Linked DNA regions of Nothobranchius furzeri. The protein of the gene in region 3 purifies or fractionates together with the protein of the main gene of each other region. This does not show direct contact. Links are inferred from orthologs where the notes say so. Each region holds a gene or a part of one and is shown on either strand. Other genes may lie near its edges.

Region 1 (5,394 bases), on a different chromosome or scaffold from region 3:
GGATTTTTTAGTTCAGAAAGCCAGTTTTTTCATGAGGAGGTAGACTCTGGAGTCTACTTCAAAACCATGAAGATTGTTGGCATCGCCCTGCAGCCTCATGAGGAGGCCTCCATAAGAAACATAAGCAGATCTGAAACATCAAGCAAATCGGTGGAAGCAGATTAACAATACATGTCCGATCTTAAATTCATGATCATTAAAAAAATTATAATTGTTCCTTAACTTCAACACTTAGATCATTTTATTTTATTTGTTGTAAAAATTGTGCAGCAATAAGAAATTTACTCACAGGCGAGTTGCAGCTTCTGTTGAAGTCTCATCTCCTTCAATTTTGTAGACTTTTCCATACATCACATACTCGAACTGGTCCGCTCTATGAATGAAAATGTAAACAGAGAGCCCAAACCTCAAACATCAAAAGATCACACACACTACGAGATGATGGAAGAGTGCAAAAAATGTCTCACCGAGATGGTCGATCATCCTGAGGATTGTACTCTCCATCATCCGGTGTTCCATCTTCATACAAAGTACTGGCAATCACCAGTCTAAACTTGTCACCTTTATAATATGTTATAAGTCAGATTTTTATTGTATTAAGAATTAACTAAATAAGAGTGCCCTCGGTAAAAGGGCTTACGCTCTCACCAAGATCCACAGGATAGATCTGAATGTTCACGTCCAAGATGAGGTCCATCTTAAAAGATTCACTCTCACAGTGCAGACGAGACACTGCAATAGGTGAGAATTTGTCAGTAGATTATAAACATTGTCTGCTGTAGGTTATACAGGTGCTGGCCAGTAAATTAGAATATCATCAAAAGGTTGAAAATATTTCAGTAATTCCATTCAAAACGTGAAACTTGTACATTATATTCATGCAATGCACACAGACCAATGTATTTCCGATGTTTATTACGTTTAATTTTGATATTTATAGGTGACAACCAATGAAAACATCAAATCTGGTATCTCAGAAAATTAGAATATTCTAAAGGCCAATGAAAAAATGTTTGTTTCTCTAATGTTGGCCAACTGAAAAGAATGAACATGAAAAGAATGTGCATGTATAGCACTCAATACTTAGTTGGGGCTCCTTTTGCCTCAATAACTGCAGTAATGCGGCGTGGCATGGACTCGATCAGTCTGTGGCACTGCTCAGGTGTTATGAGAGCCCAGGTTGCTCTGATAGTCGTCTTCAGCTCCTCTGCATTGTTGGGTCTAGCGTATTGCATCCTCCGCTTCACAATACCCCATAGATTTTCTATGGGGTTAAGGTCAGGCGAGTTTGCTGGCCAATCAAGGACAGGGATACCATGGTCCTTGAACCAGGTGCTGGTGGTTTTGGCACTGTGTGCAGGTGCCAAGTCCTGTTGAAAGGTGAAGTCTGCATCCCCATAAAGTTGGTCAGCAGCAGGAAGCATGAAGTGCTCTAAAACTTCCTGGTAGACGGCTGCATTGACCCTGGACCTCAGGAAACAGAGTGGGCCAACACCGGCAGATGACATGGCACCCCACACCATCACTGACGGTGGAAACTTTACACTGGACCTCATGCAACGTGGATTCTGTGCTTCTCCGCTCTTCCTCCAGACTCTGGGTCCTTGATTTCCAAAGGAAATGCAGAACTTGCTTTCATCAGAAAACATAACTTTGGACCACTCAGCATCAGTCCAGTCCTTTTTGTCCTTGGCCCAGGCGAGACGCTTCTTGCGCTGTTTCTTGTTCAAGAGTGGCTTGACACACGGAATGCGACACCTGAATCCCATGTCTTTCATGAGTCTCCTCGTGGTGGTTCTTGAAGCGCTGACTCCAGCTGCAGTCCACTCTTTGTGGATCTCCCCCACATTTTTGAATGGGTTTGTCGTCACAATTCTCTGCAGGGTGCGGTTATCCCTAGAGCTTGTACACTTTTTTCTACCACATTTTATCCGTCCCTTCGCCTGTCTGTTAATGTGCTTGGACACAGAGCTCTGCGAACAGCCAGCTTCTTTAGCAATCACCTTTTGTGTCTTGCCCTCCTTGTGCAAGGTGTCAATGATTGTCTTTTGGACAGCTGTTAAGTCAGAAGTCTTCCCCATGATTGTGGTGCCTTCAAAACAAGACTGAGGGACCTTTTAAAGGCCTTTGCAGGTGTTTTGAGTAAATCAGCTGATTAGAGTGGCAGCAGGTGTCTTCTATATTCAGCCTTTTCAGAATATTCTAATTTTTTGAGATACCAAATTTGGAGTTTTCATTAGTTGTCACTTATGAATATCTAATTTAAATGTAATGAACATTGGAAATACATTGGTCTGTGTGCATTGCATGAATATAATGTACAAGTTTCACGTTTTGAATGGAATTACTGAAATATTTTCAACCTTTTGATGATATTCTAATTTACTGGCCAGCACCTGTATAAACTAAATCCAATAAGCAAGTTGGTTTTTTAACTGCTCTCTTAATGAGCTGAATGTCTTTCAATTTTATATTAGCTTTTAACTTCAGGATGCCAGATTTTCTTTAACATCACTATGTAAAGTCTGCCTTAACGTGGGCAAATAAAAACGTAGAATAAATGATTACTCATGAGTCAATATACCTGTGCATTATGTCAATACGACAAAAACAATATGATGGAATAATTAAATAAGTCACCCCAATACGTTATTGTACTTCATAAGTACCTCTGTCAAACTTCTTGCCATCTGGATCAATGTCTTTCACATCAAAGATATCTTCAAACAAAATTCCAGCCATCGTTGGCCCACTCTGTGAATTTGTGCAGGGGATCAAATGTTTAAGCCCCTGTTATGACTTGAACAACCTGTCAACAAAAAATAAAACGTAATAAACTATAGTAACTTTTAAAAAGCAATGAAACGTTAGGTAGCACAAGAAATCAACTGCTATAAGCATATTACCATAAAATACTTTTATATAAAAATAAGACTAGGACATACGTCAGTTAAAGTTGGCAAGTTTTATCTTCCACGTTGAATCTCCTATTTTGGCTAACAGCTAGCTTTAGCATACTGTTAATTCATTTGTTGCACTTACCCCAAATTATTTTTAGATGTCGTAATGCAAACACAGAAGCCTCGCAACTACTCGATTCTTTAGGACAACAGCGACTGTTCAAAACATAAGCTAGATTTGTTATTTAAGAGTAATTTAATTCATTGCTATCTAGCCAATCTGTGGCGCGCAGAAACAACGTGATTAACCTTTGACACGGGAAGTACTTCTCATAAAACAAAATAAAATGAAAAAATAAATGTTTATGTTAAAAAGCAAAGTAAAACATAAGAAATTGTAAAAATATAATACTCGTACTAAAATAATAGTTTTACCATTAAAATTGCATAATGTATCCTAAAAAAGGTCAACAATTACGTTTGTCTGTGCGTTGTTATAATTTACAATCGTTTACTTTTGTTTTTCTAAATCGCATGCCTCATAACTTAAGGTTATTCAATATATTTTCTTGTAAAATATAATACATTTAGTTAGTTTTAGTTTACGACACTCACATTTACTTTCCGGTGACCCTCTGGTTGCTAGGTATTTTTAGCGTCCCTCCTGTTTGTGGTTGCCAGCTATTTTTTCGTTCACTGTCCGACAAAGCGAGCAAAAATGTACTTTATGGATCTCGTTTACTTGTTAACGCATCACAAACTTGTTTGTACGTCAATTCTCCCAAATCAAATTACGTGCGAATAAGGTAGGAGCCATGTTAATGTCCTGTCGTGTGTCAACTAATTAGATAGCTTGTAGCTTCATAAGTTGTTGCTAATCTTGATGTTAAACCATTTAAGATGGTATAAAACCCCACATGCCTGCCGAAGTTACACTAGCATTCCGTTGTGCGTTTTGGTGTTTGGTTATTTTTACTACTGCTCATAGAATTAAGTTTTTACTTATGTATTTTGCTCTTTTGTTCTTGCACCTTTTAGCTTGAACCCTAGATCTATAAACGTTTTTGAATGAAAGCAGAAATCGTTCCCGTCTAAAGGGGTATTAAATGTTTTCGGTACACACATGAGTTCCAGTGAGGAAGCCAAGATGGGGGACGTCTTGGCAACAGAAGCTGATCTTCTTGGGATGATCAAAGAGGTAGAGAAGATATCTGGGTCACAGCAATATTGATGTTCGCTGAAAATGAATGAAATGCACCAAAACTCAGTGTCATCCTTCACTGTTTAAGTTGAATCATGTTTGTTTGTTTGTTGCAGTACCTCACGTTTGAGGAGTTTGAGGAGACTGTTCAGGTTTTTGACAAGGAATGCAAAAGGAAAGGCAAGCTGGTCTCAAAACCGAGAGGAAATGCTCTAAGAGACTCTAAGACTCGTGTCATTCAGGTAAACAATGCTCTTCTTCAACATGGAAATCTGCTATGTTGGTGTGTTTTCTGTCATAGTGGGGAGACGTTTATGTAGTTCCAGTAATCCTACAAAAGGACGTACACAGCCTAACAAGTATGCAAATGCCAAGATGGTCCAGCTGATTTTGAATATTTACCTGAATATTTTCTCTGAGTTCTTGTTTTGTGCGATTTTCTCCTTCTGAATGTGACGTTTCTAGAAGGACCTTCTTAGCTCATTTGATGACGGAGACCACAAGGTGTTTTTTGAGCTGTGGACAGAGAATATTCCCTCTGAGGTCAAACACACAGACACTGAAGCACAAAGCCTTGAGTTCTACCTCCATATCCACTTTTCCATCTATCCACTGAGAAGACACCCTAATAGACGAGTAAGTATTGGTTTTATTACCAAGAGGAAATCCAAAATACAACCAAATGTGTTGTTTTCAAAGTGTCCACCAAGCTGCGCCACATGCTTTCTCAAAAGTAGTACCCTTGAACAACACTAAATAACAGTAGTTGTCTAACTTACACTATGATGCATAATCCCTTATGTGAACATCATCTTTAGTTAAAATAATTAAGCCACCCTTTAGGAAGGAAAAAAGTCATGTGGCAAAGATGCTTCCTGATTTATTTTGAGCATGTTTGTAGACAGGAAATTTGTCTGACTGATAGTTTAAACATTTAATTTCAAATCGCTTTCCAGGACCAAGCTGAGTTTGAGGAGAGGATTTCCCTCTTTAAGCAGTACCTTGAAACTCGGGGTGCAGCTTTGAGTCAGACCACTGAGTTCTTGCCTTACTACGCTTTGCCTTTTGTTCCCAACCCCACCGTTCACCCGTCCTTCAAAGATCTTTTTCAGGTACTCAGAAATGATTCTTTCTGTATTTTTCGCCCATCAGCGACTGCAACATTCAAACTGAATTTACATTTTTCTTTTGCTTATTAATATTTTTGTGTTTAGGATTCATGGATCCCACAGTTGAAATCTAAGCTGGAGAAATTCCTTTTACAGTCATTAAAATCATCCAAGACACCGAGGC
Region 2 (5,256 bases), on a different chromosome or scaffold from region 3:
TACTCACATGAACTTTGATCATGAAACACAAAGTTATCAGATGAAATCGCTGTTTGATCTTCAGAGTTTTTTAGTTGAATTAAAGACGTTTCCTGATATCTAATTAAAAACGTTGGTTTTAGATGTGGTTTCGTTTCGTAGCGTTCATATGAAGCAGAAGCTGAACTTTTGGAGTAAAACAGGAGTTGAGATTATTTCAACACTAATTTGCTGATAAGTTCTAATTCGTAATGTTTGATAACGTGAAGCATAAATCTGGAAATATGAAATAAATCAGAATAAAATACTTTTAGGACATTAAAGATTCCTAAAAGTCCTGGGAGCTGGACTTCAACCATCTCATCTCACACAAACCTCTGAACTCGCTCGTTTGGCAAACGGATATTTTTAATCCACCAGCTGGATTCCAGGAGAAGCCCTCCAAACTCCCAGAGCCAGGAGCCCCCCAGGCATAGCCCCCCCAATCGTTCGCTCACAGCTGACAGGGAAACAGGCTAAATCCAGTCTAGACCAGTTAGGCTCTTCCATCAGACAGATCCCTCCTGAGCAGGTTTCAGAGAAGCTGATTTATTATGAAGTTCTGACTAGCCTGGTGCGTGGAGCTGGGGTGTCATTACAGTGTCCTCAGATGAAAAAGCTTGACTTTGATCATTTTTCATATACTGGCCCACCTCTGTTTATTACACTTAAACACACTAAATCATTGGCCCAGTTTTAATATTTACATGAGTAGTCTTAAACTCAAACTTCAAACCATTAAAAGGTTCCCAAACCCTCAAGCATTTCATCTATAAGTGTTACTGTAGCCTAACCTGGTGAGCCAGGCCCATGGGGGACCAGCTGAGGCTCCTGTGGAGCGAGGCTATACCCACAAGCTGGGCTCAGTCTCCTCCACCGGATGTGTACCGGGAAAGTTTGGCTCCAAAAGAAAAGTTATCGCTTCCAAATCAGAACTTATGCTCTTTAAATCAAGAACATTTAAACTGTCACAAGTATAAAAAGTACTTATTTGAGTGTTGCTGCGTTTGAATGAGGAAAATGTGGAAAATTGAAAGTCTGAAAACTGTTTCTGGAATATTTGGGTCCATTTTCAAACCTGGTCAGTTCATTACACCCGTGACCACCGTGCGTGTAATGTTGCTTTTAAGTCCTGTCCATCATGAAACTTGGTTTAAAGGCGTTAATGCTGAGTCCACTCTTATTTTATGTGACAATAACAGATGTTTCTGGAAGGGATTCAGCTGAAGTTTCAGGAACGATGGACTTTTTTCTATTGGTCCAAGGAAAATGATTTGTAATTTGTTTGTTTTGCACAGTAACTTGTACATTTTGACTATAATACACAAAGGTGTGGACTCGAGTCACATGACTTGGACTCGAGTCAGACTTGAGTCATTATTTGAATGACTTCTGACTTGACTTGATAAAATCTATAAAGACTTATGACTTGACTGGACTTGAACACCAGTGACTTGTGACTTGAATCGGCTTGCATCTGTTGACTTGATGATGACTTGAGAATGTTTGATATTTTGTCACAGAAGTGGCACGACATGGACAAAAATCATAAATCATTCTTGGTTCTGGGTTTGATTTACTGCTGAATGCAGCAGCGCTTTGTTTATAACCAGTCTCAGTTTCTGCTTGTTTGAGCAAAAAAAAAGAAGCTTTAAGAAGGTTTTTTTCTGGAATTAATTTATTATCATCGTCATTAAATAGAAGTTGGACAGATGGCTTGATTATCACTTGAAAATTCAAAGTTAAGGACTTGACTTGGACTTGGTTGTCTTTGACTTGGATTTGACTTTAGACTTGAATGGAAAGACTTGTGACTTACTTATGACTTGCAAAGCAGTGACTTGGTCACACCTGCTATACATGAAGAATTTGAGCCCACTTGGACATGCTTTTGAAAATGTTTTTCCTATTTATTTAGTTTATGATGAGAATATTTACAAAAATACAGAAAAACATTTGTATGTGGAGTATGTACAGTCTATGGTCACACCTCTGAAAATACATTTGTGAAAAGCTTCGCGGCGGATGCGGAGGTGACCTCTCTCCAGCAGGGGGCGGTAGTCCACCGTTAGCCCAGAAGAAGAAGACTCAAAGATGGACGACGCTTCTCTGCGTGTTTTGGAGCGCTTGACTGAAGTGGAAGAGGCGGCTGAGGATGTTCTCACCGCCAAACAACAGGTAAACACATCCAGACCCACCGTGGCCAGGCTGGTTCTGTGAGACCCGTAGCGGGTTACAGCTGCTAGCTTCATGCTAACAAGTGTGAGTGGAAGTGACGTACGCGGTGAGACCCGTAGCGGGTTACAGCTGCTAGCTTCATGCTAACAAGTGTGAGTGGATGTGACGTACGCGGTTTTCAGACGCAGTTCTGTGCGTTAGCAGCTTTATGCATGAGGATTTTAGCGGTTGGAGCCAAGAGAGCTAAGTTCTGGTGTTGGTTCAACACTTCATTTACCCGTCACCACACCGATGTTGTCTAGAGTCAAATGTCCTTCTGTAGCTGGTCCAGTCAGGTGGTGCGTTCATGATATCTGAAGAAAACTGTTGTTCTAAAACCACACACACACGCACGGATATCCCAGTTAATAATGTCCTCCCTTAAAACAAACGTGTGTGTGTGTTTCAGATTGTTGACCTGGACATGAAGAGAAACTTCAACAGAGAGGCGCTGAACGCACTGAAACATGAGATGTCGGATAAAGGTTTGTGATCCATCAGCACTCAGGCCACCAGAACACCACAGAGGAACCCTTGTAGCTACAACAACCAAACGTTCCCATAAAGCTGGAACATCCGTCTGTTATTATTGCCTAAAGGAACACGTGTAATCTGTAAATAATCTCAGGCTAATTATGAAACTCGTGGTTGTTTATTGGTGACCCTGGTGATGAAGGAGTAATGGCCGCCTCTGCTGCCGTCCACAGAAAAAGTCAAGGTTTGCTTTGGAAACATGTTCATCAAGTTCTCCAAGTCTAAAACGACGCAGATGATCCGGAAAGGTGATCCTTTATCGTTTACAAGTTAGATCTTCCGTTTTTAACACGAGTCGAATTTAGTCTGAGCCGTTTCTCCAACCTGCAGACCAAGAGCAGCTGGACAAGGAAATAAACCACCTTCGCAAAGAGCTGAGAACTAAAGTCGGTCGTCTCAACGAGATCGAAGGTATGTGTGTTGTGACACATCAGCGGTTCCATCCACCACACTAATGATTCAAGCACCGGTACTACAGACCCTTGTTCACCTCATAGATCCTCACGAAACAGCAGTCTCCGGATCAGAATGGACCTGGAACCATTTCTTCATTTAACATTTATTTTATGGGCACTAAATGAAAGCTAAAGCTTTTTAAAGAGTTTATTATTCTGGTTATTATAATAATAATGATAATAAATGTGACCATTAATTTGGTTGCAGTCTCTCGGACACTTCCTAAACGTTTAGTGTGCTCATTTAGAAAATATTTATCGTTTGTTAGAAAAGCAACACTGGAAACTAATCCTCCAGCTTCATATTGTTTTAATGAGAGGTCCATTTTCATAGCAGGACATTGTTGTTCGTGAACTGCATCCTAGTGAGCACACTTCTCTTCATTATGAGGCACAAACAGTAAGAAACTCTGACTGCAAAGAAAATAATCAGGAACTCGATGAAAAAGCACCGACACTGGGATCCTGGTGTTGGAGGTCTAGACTCGTCAGACCAGGCAACGTTTTCCGGTCCCTTCTGGTGATGCTGTGGGGATTTGAGGCCCAGGTTCCTGTTGTTGGCTGACAGCTGGTGTGGTCTTCTGCTGCTGGAGTCCATCTGGTGCTGGGTTAGGGTTGAGTGTCTGTTTCAGAACTAAAGGTTCTAGTTCAGTGAGCTGTCGGCCCAAAGCACCAGCTGTCTCCCAACAGGTGTTGTGAATCCTTCCGTGTGATAAGTTGTTGGATCTGAGTGGAGAAAGAGTTAGTAGTGATGACCCGTTTTATCACAAAACGCCGCTCTGACACATTTTTCACGCGTTCTTTGGCTTACCGTAACAGTTTTTGTCTTCTGAAACATTCAGGCGGCTTCTGAAAGAGAAGCGTCACAATAATAAATTATTTTCAGTTCCTGCAAGAAGTGGACGGCTCAGCCTCTCCGTCTCACACTCAGACAACGACAGACGACCACAGCTGTAAATAGAAATGACCGTGGTCGGGCCACGAAAAGGACAAAACCCTGGAAAAACGACCAAGTTCCCCGTGTGGTCAGCTCAGTCACTGGGCTCCTGCAGCCCACACACCCAACCCCCCAACTGGGCTCGCCCCGGACCTGTACAATAGTAGACACAACAGATCCCGGGTCAGTCAGGAACGCTGGAAAGGAGATCAGATTTGAGGATCACATGATCACGGTTTTATTTATTTCAGACTTTCACTCCACAGGGGCGTGTGCTGAGCCCCACCTGCACGAACCACTCGTGTGGCTGTTCTGCTAGCACCTGCACCTGAAGCTTATCAGTGATGTTGGTGTTGTTGGTTTGATCTCACACGACGAGCAGCTGGCGTGAGTGATGGCGGTGCCGGAGCTGATGGGTGTTTGGAAAACATTTATTTGTTGTTTGAGTTGATCCTTTGAAGCACCTCATGTTTGTCTGTAGAGTATTTGTTGTTTGTGATATTTTTTCTTTGTTGTTTGCTTGCTTTCAGGAAATCCTGAGCTGAGAGGTTATAATCTGTCTCCTCTATCCTCTGATGAGATGAAAGCTATCACCAGCCTTCTGAAGAGATGAGCAGCTAACTGCTGAGGACGAAAACGCCGACGTGTTAAACCCAGTTTCTGTACAGCTCTGCTCAATAAATCCAGGACAGTAACTGATGTTGTTGAAGCTGAACAAAAATGTTATAGAAATTAGGATTACCGTATTGATTTGTGCTTTAAAACCCTCCAACAAGCCCTCCCTCAAGACGCTTCACAAGCACAAGAAATTAAAAATTCATCCATCTATTTTTGGCCGCTTATCCGGAGTCGGGTCGCGGGGGCAGCAGCTTAAGCAGGGAGGTCCAGACTTCCCGCTCCCCAGCCACTTCCGCCAGCTCCTCCGGGGAATCCCAAGGCGTTCCCTGGCCAGGTGAGAGACATAGTCCCTCCACCGTGTCCTGGGTTTTCCTTAAGGTCTCCTCCCGGTTGGACGTGCCCGGAGGAGCTGATTCTGATCCCAGCTGCTTCACACTCGGCTGCGAACCGCTCCAGTGAAAGCTGGAGATCACGTTC
Region 3 (4,172 bases):
TACCCTGAATAAAAGCAAAGTTTTATCCAGGTGTTACTAGTTTCTGTAGTCGACCGAGTTATGAGCCATATTCAGACTTTTGGGCCATTCCCATCTGTGCCGGGTCGGGTAGCCCCAGTCGGCCCCAGCCTGGCCCGGTTGATTCCACACATCCTTGCCTTAAGCCCATGTGGGCTGATTCTACCCACCAATCAGAGGCTTGCTCTAATGGAAGGTGTGAAGTTGCTGTCAGCAGTGGGTGTGTTGGCCCTGGTCGGCCTGAAGCAGACCCCCTCGAGAAGAGGGCTGAGAATGAGCCTTGGTTGGCCCGGAAAAATACCAGGCCACCCAGATATGTAAACAACCTACGCTACCCGGCCCGGGCCGACCCGGTACAGATGGGAATGGTCCACAAGTGTACTGAAGGCGATAGACAAGCTAATCACTTAAAAACGAAAGCATGACATCTTGGTGTGTGTTTTTCTGTCAGGCTCATGCAGCACCATTTCAGATTTAGCTGATCTTAAGAGGTTTTAAAAACTGAGTACTAAGCCATTAAGGATTCACCTAAATGAAGGTTCTTCGCTTAGATGAAATGAAATACATTTGATTAGTGAGATTTTAATGAGCTTCATGAAGTTGTTGAATTAGACCTTTTGCAAAAGTGATTCTGAACACTAACAGTGAATCATCTCAGCATGTGGGATACATCAGCCACTAATGCTTCTCGCAGTTTGCCTGGGCTATACCTTTAGTAATAATCATTGATGTGCTCCGACTCTGTGCATATTTTTTTCCTCAAGACTGAAAAATCTGTGCAAAATATAAAACAAAAAAACACATTTTGTGAAGGATTGTAATGGAACTTTAGTCATGTTGTGAAAACTGCTGGTCTGCATCGCTCCAGATGTCTGATGTACAACTATGTACGCAATTTATGTGACTGTACACAGGCGCTATTTTACCAATAAAAATCATGAAGTAAACACTTTGTCATGTGGAACATTTATCACAACTGGAAAGTAAATGGTGCAAATAAATACAGAAGAAAAGGAAAACCAGGCCAGAAATCATCTGAACATTTGAAATAACTACAAGTAGAAAACTTTCAGTCTCTCCATCGATGTCCACACTGGGCATTACAGCATTTGTAGAAAGTTGTCATGGGTTCATCAGCAGATCTGGTCTGAATCTGCATGAAATACGCCCGAGGATGCTCACACTTGGGACATTTTTCTGTACAGAGATAGAGAAGGAATATGTCAGCTTAGAGGCCACACCGGTATGTACCATCTTATACCCCAAATACCTCTGGTATGTCCAGGTTTTAGTTTAAGAATGTTAATCTTAAGAAATCACTAATCCTGTTTAAGGATCATGAATTGTTTTAAGGAGATAAATAATAGTTTATTAAGCATCTAGCCAATTCTACTATGACCTAAATAAAGATACAGGATATCAGGATTGTTGAATGGTTTGGCTTGAACAAAAAGAAAAACTGAAAATCCTGGATTAATCCGTTTGTATAATTGAAAATTGGAAGTACACTTTTCTCATTTTAGGCGTTAAAACACTTTAATTACTTAACTAAAACTAAAGAATATGCTAAACATTTGTATGCAGACTCCAGGAAGTCATTTTAATGTTATTTACCTGCAGTTGAATCCACGTTCTCCCACGCAGCAGCCCCACCGAGAACATCATCCACCTCCTTTAATTTGGGATACTTTCGGTTGTTTACCTTCAAGAGAAATAAAACAAGACCTTAAACTTACAAACCTAACGACAAATATTTTGTGTTTCTGACACCAACTAGATGATGAAACCTGGTTTAGTTACGGGTGACTCCTACCTTTCTTGTGATGTTGTGTATGTAAGGACAGGTGTTACACGCGAACCTCATACACTTCTGTCCTTCTTCTACGATCAAAACGTTTCCACAGGTAGGGCAAAAGAGTAGCATTTTAAATGTAATCAATTTGGTCGCAAACCATCAACTAAATGGAATCTAAATGTGATTTCACCAGAAACCATCTGCTGCGTAGAGAAAACCGGAAGTCGACTGATGAAAACAGCTCGAACGGAAACAACCGGAAGTCGCTAATCGTTTAAACAACATGCCTAATTGTATGTAAACAATTCTATATTAAAATGAATGTTATTAATTTATGATAAGAATACGTATTTATCAAATGTTAACGCAGCTGTTCATTTTTATTTTCATCAAGTGGAACCTTTTACATAAGGTCCATTTCCGTTCCGGTAGTTTGTTTGTACTGCACACAGTTACATACGGGCTTTTGCTGTTCTAATTCTTCTTTTTTAGCAGCAGTTTTGAAGTAAACCTGTAATTGTTGTCCAGGTAAATTGTATCCAGACGACGTTTTCTAGCAGGAAACCCGGAAGGTACCCAATAGCTGGATGATTATCGGATGGAGGAGGAGCAGAGTCCAGGTTCTGCTGTAGTCAAAGGAGGTGAAGGAGCGCAACTAGTGCAGGATGAGGAGGTGAAAAAGGAGAGCTTCCTAAACGAGGCAGCTGCTGAGGAGGAGGACGATGAAGATTCTCTCCCTCACTCTGAGATCCTGGATATTTTTGAAGAAGGACTTGCTCGACTTGTGCAGGACCCTTTACTCTGCGACCTGCCAATCCAGGTGTTATTTCTGAGTGCCCTCAGTTACTCTGAAGGAAAACGTGTGTTGTCACCTTTATTTGAGATTCACTCATTGGAGCTGGTCTATTTTATTTTTAAAGTCCAATGACGATTGTAGAAGATATTTGGGCCAGGATTATACTTTTGTAGGATTTAGTAAATCACACTGTTACAATATCGTTGGGTATTGCGATGACGATAACAGTTGTGCTAAATCCTCATTTTCCTCACTCTGTTACCACACATCACTCACCACTGGTGTGTTTTCAGCAATAGCATTAAGGAGATTCAGTCACATGAACATGTCCCCATCTACTGTGAATCAAGCTGTTTTTGTGTGCCACTGAAGCAGTCACAGTGATGATGTTTTGTGATACATTGTGCAGCTTTTGTTACTTTAGTCAAAAGTTTGGACACACACCTCACCTGCAATTTCCAAACAGTCTATTTAGATACCTATTAAAACTCAAATGGATCCCATTTGCACTACAAAGTGTTTATGAATCAATTTGCAAGCTTCCAATGGAGTAAAAACAGCAGATCACTGCATATTACAGTTTTTATTAGAGCAAAGACAAAATTATCTCCCCAAAGTCCTTGCTGATGTCTCTTCTTGCTTGTATGTTAAAGCTGTGTGATTTGTACTCTGTCCTAATATTGGTTACACAAGAGGACAGCAGTAGAAGTATTAGCTCACGTCTACCTTGTGCATTTTGTTAGGTCAATAAAGTATATTCAAAATATTTCACTGTATTTTGCTCAACTTGTCAAAGTATTTCCAAATTTAAGACCAGCAATAAATCTTCATAATCTAACAGCAAGTCCTCTCAGGGTTGTGAGCTTTTCTAGATGATGATGGTCTGATGTGTGCAGAGAAATGGTAATCGGTGGCGTCAATTTTAATGTTTTTTTTTTCTGTACCATCAGGTCACACTGGAAGAAGTAAATTCTCAGATAGCTTTGGAGTACGGCCAGGCGATGACTGTGAAGGTCGTGAAAGCAGATGGTGAAATCATGCGTAAGTGTTGCTTTTTCATTGTTTTATTATTTCTTTTTTATCAACTTTCTATTTTTTGTTATTAGATGATTGAAAATTATAGCCTGACATCTACTATTCTCATCACACTTACTTTTTTTTATTTATTATATTTAAATGAAGCCATAGTTGTAGTCCAAAACGCTTCAGTCCTGGACCTGAAAAAGGCCATTTGCAGATTTATGGAGTTGAAACAGCAACGGGAGGGAGGAATAAAACATATCAGCTGGTAAGAATATTTAAGTAGACAAGGAAATAAAATGCATTCAATATATATATATATATATATATATATATATATATATATATATATATATATATATATATATATACATATATTATATATACATACACACATATATATATATATATATATATATATGTATGTATGTATGTATGTAATATATATATATATATATATATATATATATATATATATGTATGTATATATAATATATGTATATATATAATATATGTATGTATGTGTATATATTTATGTATGTG
Region 4 (5,201 bases), on a different chromosome or scaffold from region 3:
GTTTTGGGTGTCTGCGTGTGGACGGACAAAACCGGAGTTTTAAGGTCCGCAACGTCACTTTCCGCGACAAAAAAAAAAATGCTGACATCACGTGTGCGACCTGTGTTTACACTAGCCGACAGCATGGAAGCCTTCAGAGCTGCGCTCTGTCACTACCCGATCCATCAATTGTCCAAGCGCTTTTTGCTTGTTTGTTTTTGCAAGCGGAATTACTGCTCCTTGCGGAAGACCACAGACGAAGGACGAGGTTAAGAACGGGGGAAGTACTGCCGCCTACAGGTCTGGCATGTCCTTAACAACGTATTTATCCGGGTACGTGTGGACAGAGTTTGTTTTTAAAACGCGGTGGTGTGGATGCAAGTTTTTGGAGGGGCGGATATTCGTTTTTAAAAAACCCGGCTACGTGTGGACTAGGCCTAAGATTTTTGTCTCTAGACCAAAGCTAAGTGTTTCATGAGCCACAGTGGGACCCTGACCCAGACTTTTGGAACCACTGAGTATACAAAGAGGAGGGGTAAAATTAACTCATCTGTACCTGCGTCATAAACACCAGATTGGTAACCTGACCTGAGATTAGCCTGTAAAACATGTTGATGTAACCAGTGGCTTTTTTTTTTTTACTGAAATACCTGAGTCTGGGTGAAGATCTGGGCTTTCTGACACTCCTCCAGACTCGGGGCGAAGCTAGCCATGACGTTCTCCTCGGTGCCGATCATCTGAACGATCTCCTGGTCACTTTCTACACCCATACCCTGTGTGGGTCACAGACATGATGCAGAAGACAAGGGACTAATGTGAAAGGGGTGAACTAAATCATTTCAATATATAACCACGTTGAGACTATATGAGCTGAAACATTAGGAGGTGGAGTGTTGGTGGGGGTCAGAGAGGTTAGCTCGGAGTCATGGGGGTGCATGACATTTGCTTATGGAAATGTGAAGCTGTGGGAACTGATTCGTGTGCTCCACGGAGGAGATGAGGTCGCAGAAGGAGGTGGGGAAGGAGCAGTCCAGGATGTACGAGCTCTCAGCAAACAGAACCGAGGGTTCAGACACTCACAAGGTAATGTGTTAGAAAAGCTTTTCTCCAGAGGTGATGGGAGATCACAGCACCAGCTGTTCCACTGACATTTTCACTCCGGCTGATGAACAGAGTTCATCAAAACCTCCCACAGCATGAGTTTATCAATTATGATTTTACACAGATCAGAGCTGCAGAGAAAATCTTCTCTTTAGTTGTGTTGCAGCGCCACCTACTGGACGTACTTAAACTGGTTTTACCTTGAATATAATAGCGATGGGAGCGTCTTCAGACAGCGTGTTGTGTCTCAGGTAGAACCGACCCTGCTTCACAATCATGTTGGTTCTGCTTTTCTTCTCGTGAGTGGAGCTGAAACAAAACAACAAGTTAAACTGTCTAACTCCTTCATTTGGGAGGAAGCTGTAACTTTATTCCTACCTGGTAACCGAGGCGCCGACTGCACCCTTCCTGTCCTGTTCCACAATGATCCGATTCTTGGACAGCTGCTCCTGGATCAGGATGACTTTCTCCTGGCCTTTTACAATAAAATAACCTCCTGAAAATCAAAAGAACACAACTCTGTCAAACAGAGGACCAGAATAAAACATTAAGAATTAGAGTTAGATCCTTTTTAACAACAGTGTACCTGGGTCCAGAGGACATTCGTTGAGTTTAGAAAACTCCATGGGAGTCTTTCCTGTGAGAACACAGTTCGAGCTTCGCAGCATGATCGGCATCCTGACACGAGTAGAAAGAATCCTCTTAACAATAACATCTTGACGAGTTTTGAAAGCTGAAATGCAGAATTTGAGAGATAAATTAGAATGAGTCAAAAATCAGAAACCTTCCAATAGGCAGAGCGTTTCGGATGATCCTTTGACTGCCGCGAGTGTATTCTATGTCCACTGTGATGGGCGCCGAGTAGGTCATGTCCCTGAGGCGACACTGTGGAAACAGAATTTCTCCTTTAAGCAAAATAATCAACAAATATTCCCATAAATCCACTGATGGATTTAATTTACAAACCTGTCAGACTGAAACATGATCTCATCTGATCAGACTCACCTCATGAGGAGAAACCGGTCGGGTTACGTTAAAGCTTTCCTCAACATCGGGCATCCCAACGTAGATATTGAGGTAGCTGCACAGGAACCACTTCTCAGATTAACTCCAATTCAAGATAAAGGGCGTGTCAGTAATATAACGATTGAATAACTTACTTCAAGTACCACAGTGGATCAGCATCACTTGTGATCTTCTCATTTGCTTTCATAATTTTCTTGATCTGAAACACAAGATGCTTTTAGTGAAGTGAAATCTTAAACAGAGGAGTAAAAGCCCGGTTGGTGGGTTTCAGCTTTACCTCAACGTTAATGAAATAGTTAAACGAGTCAATGTGCTGCTTCACCAAACCTTTCACCTGCAACGCACACAGAGATGAAAGAGAAAAAAAGAGAGGAGCATGGATGTATCTCATGGTTAAACTCTTAGGTCACTGAGGGCTAAAGGGATTAACTTTAATTATTTAAACCTGACTTTTCATAAATTAATGAATCTGATTAGATCAAATTAACTAACAAAAGTCGGAAATTAAATTAAAAATACAACAGAAGTCTTCAAATTGTAGAATTAATAAAAATCTGGATTATAAATGGAAATTTCTGCTTAAATATTTGTCTAGATTTTCCTCGGGGGGGGGGGGGGGGGGGGATAATTCTACTTATTGTGTTACCTTCAGAAAGGCTGGTAACAACTTCCATTTTTCCTGTCAGGAAGAGAAACAAACCAGTTAATTAATTAAATTATTCCGTTTCTGGAGCACTTTATGCCGAGGTTGGCCAAACTCTGGATTTAATGCTACAATGTTCCAGCTGTGACATAATTCCAGACTCATTTAACAACTAAGAAGCTTCGTTGCACCACACCATCAGTTAAATCTGTTGAATTAGCTTACTGCACTGCACTCGTGGTGTAAAAACCTTTTTGTCCGATTTTCCCCGAACTTACCGCCACAGTGTTGACAGGAGCCGCCAACTCCTGAGGAGTCATTTCTCCAAACTCTCCTCCCAGCAGCTCCATAGTCACCGTTGCTGTTCTACTCTAAACATTTAAAAATATAAATAACGTTAGTGTTGACACAACACGCAGGAAGTGTCGGCTGCATGCGTCCCAGCTATGTGTTTCAATTTCAAGCGTACGTAGAAACGTTGGGCGGAACTACATAGTTCCGTCTGGAACGACTTCTTCGGAGGTCGCGGGATCTCAACAGTTTAATAAACGTATGCCACCTAGTGGTGCAAAACGTTACTGAAACAAAAAAAGACAAGAAATTCACTTTTTGATTGTTTTACTTAGTTGTTTTATTTAGTACGAGAAACAAACAAAAAGTAACTTAATGTACTGGAAAAACACGTTGACTTTTTCAAGCATAAATAGAAAATTAATTAGAATTAATGCTTTTGGTTTTGACTAAAGCAGAGGAAAAAACTAAGGAATCTGATTGAATCAATTGATCCTCTAACGCTATGCTGATAAAAGCAACACAAACTATTCTATTAAAAGCATCTTCTACATTTTTGAATAAAGTTTAGAACAGTCATGATGGATGTTCAGTTTGCTGCCTCCATACAGACACCACCTGTCATTTCAGGTGTGGACAGGGTCAGCGAGCGTGCCCCCTGACATGTCTGCTGTTGCTGCTGAGCAGTTTGGGGTATGCCGTCCCCAGACAACGTCCCTGCCTGACGACCACCAGCTCCAGCTGACACTGGTCGATGTTGACCAGCACTGTGGTGCTCCTCTCTGTGTTCATCAGGAAGATGATGGTGAAGATGGCCATCTCAAACTCAGGGCTGGTCCCAATGAAGGCACTGCCGACGGGCTTCAGCACACCGTGCCAGCTGAACTGGAGGTTCAAAACGTGGTCATCCTGGTCAGGCTGCAGGTGGAAGCAGACATGAGATGGTGCCGACAGAGATGCGTCTCCTCCATGTGGTGAACTTACCAAGTCGTGCTCTCTGGCCTTGTATCCCTTGTAATCCAATTGGCTGTTTTTCTCCTGCAGGTAGAACTGAACCCAGTTGTGAAAGCCAATTATTTCTGTTCCGGATCTGGTTTCACCAACAAAAACGTGTTCAAACCCACAAGAGTCTGGGCTGTCACACAAACAAAATGGTTACTTATTATCGTCACAAACAAAGTGATAAAAGACTCTGACGCATTGATGTTCAGACTCCCACCCCGTGTTCCTCTGTCGGTGGTAAAGATGAAACCAGATCAAGCTCAGCTGACTCTTGAACAGCCTCAAGTCAGACCTGGACTTTCCTTTGCTCACCAGATACTGATGGGCACGCTGAGAAGAAATCACATAGATTACTCAGAAAGTTTCTCCAGTTTGAGCAAATGAACAGTTAATGTTGCAAATGATAAATAAAAGCTGCAGCTTATACCTTTCCTTTGAGGCAGTGTTTTGAAACGTTAATTGAATCAAAACGTGATGTAAAACAATTTTGTTCCCTGACTATAGAGTAAGAAACACTTTATGGGTTTAACTGGACCAGAAAAGTATTTCCTCCTAAAACAAGTACTGAAAGTTCACATTTTTCCAGTGATCCTCTTTGGGGAGCCCACTGAGGCCAACACAACATTCCACAGCTGCACACAGATGTTTCAGCTGCCTGTTTTGTTATTTTTTTCCCTTTCTTCAAACATCACGATGAGTCGAGTTTCTGCAGTGTTCAGCTGCAGCTTCAAACCACAAAATGCATGAAACGATGAGAGGTTAAAGACATCTAAGTAACAAAATCTGCAACAAGTCACCTTCATAACTTGAGTTTCTAAAACAGCATCCAGGAAGAGACTGATCTCTGTCTGCTCCTCTGTTGTGACTCGCTCCGTGATGCCTGTAGACCGCTCATAGTTGTCCAGGAGTTTCATTAAGCCTAAAAGCATAAATGTACATTTTTAACACTAAATCGTTTTAACAATCTACCAGTCACAATGAAACTCACGAGAAAAGGTGGTCATGTTTCCCAGTTTTGCTTCATTAACGTTGGAGAACAGAGGCAAAGAGGCGTGATCCTGCACCACCAGGCTGCCCTGGCTTACAAATCCTGCTCTGCCCTGGACAGGAGAGTCCCACAGTCCTCACAAATAATAATAAAAACAGATGAATGTTTACT
Region 5 (4,846 bases), on a different chromosome or scaffold from region 3:
GATATTCTGCAGCTTTTCCCCCTGAGTTGAACAGAGCAGTGCGTAAAATCGGTGCCAAAACGTTCACATACACCAACTCCGAGTGGAACAACAAAAATTTGGATACTTTCTTCACGCAGGACTCTCGTCCACAGACATGGAAGCAATCGACATTTTATGCGAATATGAGTCTTGTAAATCGATACTATGGGTGCAAACATTGGGTTGACCTGCGAGATAAGGCACCCGTTGTCTTGGAAACACACCTTAGTTTCCACAGCCTTTTATTTTAGTCCAGCTCTTTCTGACGTTTAAATCTGTCCATTACACTTTTCTAAATGCATCATTTAACACCATTTTTGCGCGCGCTGCCTCAGACGATAAAAAAAACCTTGGCGACGACAAACACAACTCTGCTGCACTCTCCTCGTGTTTGCTGGCCATTAATCTTTGTGTGTCCTCGCCCCATTTAACAATAGCCCTCTTGGTTAGTCAATTATCATGAAGAGACCAACTGAACTCAATTAACCGCCGTGCGCGTTTGGAGCGCGCGTCTCCACGGCCTTTTACGCACGACTTTCAGACGCATGTTTGTCACGCGGGACGAGCCGGCTTTTATTTTGATAGTCTGCGCAGCTTCGATAGACTATTTGCACTCAGATCTTCAAAAGCAATTATAGCACTTTCCAATGAATCTTAATGGCAGCACTCAACGGTGCAATAAAGTCCAGGTGAGCCATTTCTATGCAAAACACCCCCCTGCAATATGGCCTAATGGCCTTTATATTTGATCATTGTTGTAAAGAGGAAGGAAATTGTTAACCCAGGCTGTTCCATATGTGATTTATGAGGCGTGTTGCCCGTTAAGAAGGGAGGCAATCAGAATCAGACACTTTCGTCCCTGTAAAGTTGTAGAAATAATAAAAGACAGTGGAGTCAGAAAAAATGGAAAGATTTAATGGCCATCTGCCATCTCAAAGTGAGGACAATCACACAAAATCAACAGATTGTTCCTGAAACAAAATAAATGAAATGTTTTTTAGCTTTTTCATTGAGTAACAAACCAGTTTTTGACGGCATGTCAAAAAATGATAAAACATGCTTACTCTGTGGCGACAGCAGCGTGGCCTATGTAAACATCATGACACGTGATGAATAGTAATGGCGTTATAATAGAGATTAGGTCCCCCTCCTGTGACGAACACGGTTACACCTCATCATGAGTCACGAGAGAGACTGTTTGACCTCATTCTGTTGCATTTTATTGGGAAAAAAGAAAATAATCTACCAGTACGTCCAAAGAGACAAAACTCACTCTATTTCTCTGTAAAATGATATTTTAAATAAAGTTTTTCTCTTTTAAACACAAAGCAAACAGCAGCACCTCTCAGTCGGTTATGAGCTCCTGAGACTAAAAACAAAGCCGGTCCATTCATGAAGTCTGAATCCGTCTTTTTTTGTCTCTTTTCTGTCCATCGGCATGTTTCCGGTCTCTGTCGTCTTGGTGTCTGCTGCGTCTGTCCTTATCTCTGTCCGGCCTCTTATCTCGACTTGTGCGGCGGTCCATGTGAGGACGTTTATGATCCGAGGGGCCGCCAGTATTCCTGTGATCAGGCGGAGGCGTTCTGCTGCGGTCACGCTGTCTGTCCGGGGACTCGCTCCGAAGGCGTCCTCTTGTGGAGGAACATTTGGCTTGGGGTTCCTCTGTGCGCCGGTGCAGGCCCGTGGAGCGCAGGGTGTTGAGTAAGAAGCGTTTGTTGGTGCTCTGTAGAGGACACTTCAACCTGGAGAAAAATCCACAAACATCAGACACAGATCCAGAAAAATCCAGCAGTTGATGCCGAAAGAAGAAATTTAATTTCACAGATTCAATCAGACTTCAGCAACATGACTTTTGTGGGTGTTTTATCCCTTTAACTATAGAATAAAGAGGCTAAATAAGAAATTTTCACACATACGATTGAAATGCCCCAAAAAAACCTTTAATGTATATATATGATATAAGACCTCAAATTAAAATACCAACAGATAAGATAACTTTTAGTGCAAAACTAACATTTTTAGGAAGACACGTGGTGTGTTCAGATGGTTTAATGAGAACATGAGCAAAATAATCTAATATTTAAAATAATACTAGACACTAAGTAATTATCCAAAAAGAAAAAAGAAAAGAAAGAAAGCCAATCCACATGAGAGGGTCAGAGATATTTCAGAGCTCACCATCCTGCAGGACCCATGGTCTCTGCTCTCACCCGGGCTCTGTCAGTCTCCCTCAGGAGCTCCTCCACGGCGCGCCTAGACGGAACCGGACCCAGAACCAGGAGAATGAGTCATGAGACAAACAGGACAGAAATTCTGAGCAGATGTACAAGAAATATAAGATGAAAGTAAAGCGGACGTGTCCTTGTTTGACCCGAAATGAGTCTCATCACCAGATTGGACTCGCTACTTATGCCGACCTGAAACTACACACAACAGGCAGCTAGAGTCAACAAGTCAACTTTAAATACAGTAAACAACTCAGATCAGAACTACTAACAGACTGTTTTTCCGCAGCGTTACATTTTAGAGGGAAAATGTCTGCAAATGTGTTCAGACGGAAGTTAATAAAGATACATTTACTCACTTTTCTAGCTCATTTTCTTCCGCCATTGCGTCTTAATCACACAAAAACTCTTACAAATAAATAAAAACCTAATAAAACCTATAAATTTACGTTAATTTACGAGGCATTTCTTGTTCACTTCGCCGAGAGGTCCTTCAATCGCGGACCCTGTTTTTAGCTGCCCGGAGCAATGCCTGTTCAGTTGCAAAATCATGTTGAAAATAAGTTATGAAACCAAACTACATTTTTTATTTACAAGTAGATATGTTTGTGTATTATGTATTGATCTTTTTTAATTAAAATAATTGATATTTTTAAAAGTTCAATAAGTTATGGGGCACCCCTGGAAAAACATTTACAGCTGATTGTTTTAGCAACATTTGGCCACAAATAACTTTAAAACAAACATAGAATCAAACAAATATATAAACACACTTTGTTAAAAAAAAGGATTTATACTCAAATCGAAACGTAAAATGTGACATTTAAACTTGTACATTTTTTATTTGATTAAACATTTTCCATTGGGAACTAAGCCAACTTAATTCTTTGGTAAATTGTAAAAATAATTTAAATACATACAATGGCTTAATCAAAAGTAAAGTGATAGTTACAGAATATCATCAAGCAAGATATTTTAGTAATCTAGATTGTGATACATTAAAGGACAATAACAAACATTTTTATTTAGAAGTAATCTTCTTAAAGAAGACATATTATGCCTTTTGCATCCTTTTTGTGCCGCCATGTGCACTCTGCCTCTATAAACGCTCCAAACATGCCAATGTGTGGTTGTAGAAATGTTGTGCCTAAAACAAGCTATTTGAAATTGTCCCCAATTGTGACATCACAAGCAGGCCCAGTGCCAATACTCGCATTGCGCCCTGCAGTCTTCAGCAAAGTGCACTTGGAGAAAGTGTGCAGTAAGGCTTCGAGTGCGTGGACTACAACTGTGCAAATAATTGCTGAAGTGAGACAGGGAGCATTGCGTCATGAAACGCAACGCATGCCGAGATGCTGGTCCTGTGATACTTTTTCAAAAGCCTTTATTAACAACTTTTAAACAAACAACCCATTATTTGAAATAAATTTTAATTAATTGCTGCTTTGTCTAAAACATTCAGAGCATCAACTGATTGTCCCAAAACTAACTCATTCCATTAGAAAATATTCAGAAAAGGAACTTGAACCCTTTCTCCTGCAGCAATGACTTGTGGGTAATACACTTCACCCAGCACTGTAAGAATACTTTTGAGGCAGATAATTAAGTATATATTTGTTCTGTTTTTTTCTATTCTATTCTATTCTATTCTATTCTATTCTATTCTATTCTATTCTATTCTATTCTAATTTTTGTTCTGATCCTGTTTTTGAACAGGCGGTCGGTGTAAGCCACCTCTAAACTCAGCTCCGTAGACTCCTCCCATCACCTTTTGATTGGCAGCGGTGGGCGGGATCAGCGGCGCCAACGGTACGGGGGCGTTTTCTTGCGGGCTTGCGGAGCTCTCCGTCGGTTGCGGCGAATGCGTGATCGACGCCCCGCAGCTGATAATTGCTCCCCGCTTTGGGGCCCGAGTGGACGGCGCGGAGGAGCCGCCGGAAGAAGGTAAAACATCCATCACATCTGGAGACATCCATCTCCTGCATGAGCTGTGTCAGCGAGCGGGGTTGATGCTGTCGCCTCTTCTGTCCTGTCCTCTCGCGCCTCCGCTTCTGCAGGATGGGATGAAGTCAGACAGCTGGGGAGGGAGGTGAAAGAGGGGTGCGATGATTTTAATAACGATGTTGACTTAACCGGAATATGACACTGCAGTTTATGCAAGGCAATCTGGGACGACGACACCGGGAGGAGGAGAAAATGCTAGATTTAATCAAATCAGTGTCTGTTTTTGTTGTCACCCCTGCACGTCTGCCTGGAGAAAAACAGACAATTGAAACACACCTTGCAGGCCTCTTCTAAATAAATTTAAAAACATGGATGAAGAGATCGGGTCGAACGTAAGATAAACTTGAGTTTTAAAATCTGTGGCCTAAATTATGATGCCATTTCTGTTGGTTATTGCATTTCTGCACGTGCTAAAACCTTAGTTTGTCATTTGTGTGTAGACAAAATTCTGTCATTCGTTAATACAATACAAAGCATGCATGCATTCATACTTCTGCAGAGGACTATTGTCCTGAAAAAGATCAAAGTGCTTTGAGAGTTCTAAAATCCCAAAGATTATTTTCAGGGCCTGCTGGATAAAGCTCGTGTGCTTGTTT

Evidence for each region. Proteins that work in one complex are often made in the same cells at the same time.
Region 1: the proteins of polr3k (region 3) and polr2h purify together in Homo sapiens (affinity purification with mass spectrometry; 3 studies listed by BioGRID and IntAct, with this or other methods). This does not show direct contact. The link is inferred for Nothobranchius furzeri from reciprocal best matches to the Homo sapiens genes POLR3K and POLR2H.
Region 2: the proteins of polr3k (region 3) and pdrg1 purify together in Homo sapiens (affinity purification with mass spectrometry; 3 studies listed by BioGRID and IntAct, with this or other methods). This does not show direct contact. The link is inferred for Nothobranchius furzeri from reciprocal best matches to the Homo sapiens genes POLR3K and PDRG1.
Region 4: the proteins of polr3k (region 3) and polr3b purify together in Homo sapiens (affinity purification with mass spectrometry; 6 studies listed by BioGRID and IntAct, with this or other methods). This does not show direct contact. The link is inferred for Nothobranchius furzeri from reciprocal best matches to the Homo sapiens genes POLR3K and POLR3B.
Region 5: the proteins of polr3k (region 3) and si:ch211-140b10.6 purify together in Homo sapiens (affinity purification with mass spectrometry; 3 studies listed by BioGRID and IntAct, with this or other methods). This does not show direct contact. The link is inferred for Nothobranchius furzeri from reciprocal best matches to the Homo sapiens genes POLR3K and POLR1D.

What each region holds. Positions count from the first base shown.
Region 1 is NC_091748.1:62,882,568-62,887,961, forward strand, and holds the start of polr2h (DNA-directed RNA polymerases I, II, and III subunit RPABC3), read right to left. Parts: upstream 3,216-5,394; 5' UTR 3,043-3,215; intron 2,810-3,042; exon of another isoform or gene 2,755-2,809; 5' UTR 2,743-2,754; coding exon 2,670-2,742; intron 733-2,669; coding exon 649-732; intron 562-648; coding exon 468-561; intron 374-467; coding exon 290-373; intron 131-289; coding exon 13-130; 3' UTR 1-12. Other genes in the region: lisH domain-containing protein ARMC9, read left to right, coding at 4,024-4,098, 4,218-4,343, 4,567-4,737, 5,058-5,213, 5,316-5,394. UniProt on the Homo sapiens protein: DNA-dependent RNA polymerase catalyzes the transcription of DNA into RNA using the four ribonucleoside triphosphates as substrates.
Region 2 is NC_091743.1:5,380,677-5,385,932, forward strand, and holds pdrg1 (p53 and DNA damage-regulated protein 1), read left to right. Parts: upstream 1-2,041; 5' UTR 2,042-2,112; coding exon 2,113-2,196; intron 2,197-2,335; exon of another isoform or gene 2,336-2,504; coding exon of another isoform or gene 2,505-2,534; intron 2,535-2,644; coding exon 2,645-2,720; intron 2,721-2,942; coding exon 2,943-3,017; intron 3,018-3,099; coding exon 3,100-3,180; intron 3,181-4,691; coding exon 4,692-4,774; 3' UTR 4,775-4,856; downstream 4,857-5,256. UniProt on the Homo sapiens protein: May play a role in chaperone-mediated protein folding.
Region 3 is NC_091745.1:3,876,370-3,880,541, forward strand, and holds polr3k (DNA-directed RNA polymerase III subunit RPC10), read right to left. Parts: upstream 2,086-4,172; 5' UTR 1,943-2,085; coding exon 1,832-1,942; intron 1,721-1,831; coding exon 1,633-1,720; intron 1,216-1,632; coding exon 1,088-1,215; 3' UTR 818-1,087; downstream 1-817. Other genes in the region: snrnp25 (U11/U12 small nuclear ribonucleoprotein 25 kDa protein), read left to right, coding at 2,412-2,633, 3,560-3,650, 3,792-3,897. UniProt on the Homo sapiens protein: Core component of RNA polymerase III (Pol III) which synthesizes small non-coding RNAs using the four ribonucleoside triphosphates as substrates. Can mediate Pol I proofreading of the nascent RNA transcript.
Region 4 is NC_091744.1:73,559,002-73,564,202, forward strand, and holds the start of polr3b (DNA-directed RNA polymerase III subunit RPC2), read right to left. Parts: upstream 3,216-5,201; 5' UTR 3,100-3,215; coding exon 3,028-3,099; intron 2,786-3,027; coding exon 2,753-2,785; intron 2,441-2,752; coding exon 2,384-2,440; intron 2,306-2,383; coding exon 2,241-2,305; intron 2,162-2,240; coding exon 2,086-2,161; intron 1,966-2,085; coding exon 1,865-1,965; intron 1,759-1,864; coding exon 1,667-1,758; intron 1,577-1,666; coding exon 1,459-1,576; intron 1,390-1,458; coding exon 1,281-1,389; intron 753-1,280; coding exon 630-752; intron 1-629. Other genes in the region: endouc (uridylate-specific endoribonuclease C), read right to left, coding at 3,683-3,958, 4,025-4,175, 4,260-4,372, 4,840-4,961, 5,031-5,142. UniProt on the Homo sapiens protein: Catalytic core component of RNA polymerase III (Pol III), a DNA-dependent RNA polymerase which synthesizes small non-coding RNAs using the four ribonucleoside triphosphates as substrates.
Region 5 is NC_091747.1:51,105,440-51,110,285, reverse strand, and holds si:ch211-140b10.6 (protein POLR1D), read right to left. Parts: upstream 2,777-4,846; 5' UTR 2,632-2,776; coding exon 2,606-2,631; intron 2,275-2,605; coding exon 2,200-2,274; intron 1,764-2,199; coding exon 1,412-1,763; 3' UTR 916-1,411; downstream 1-915.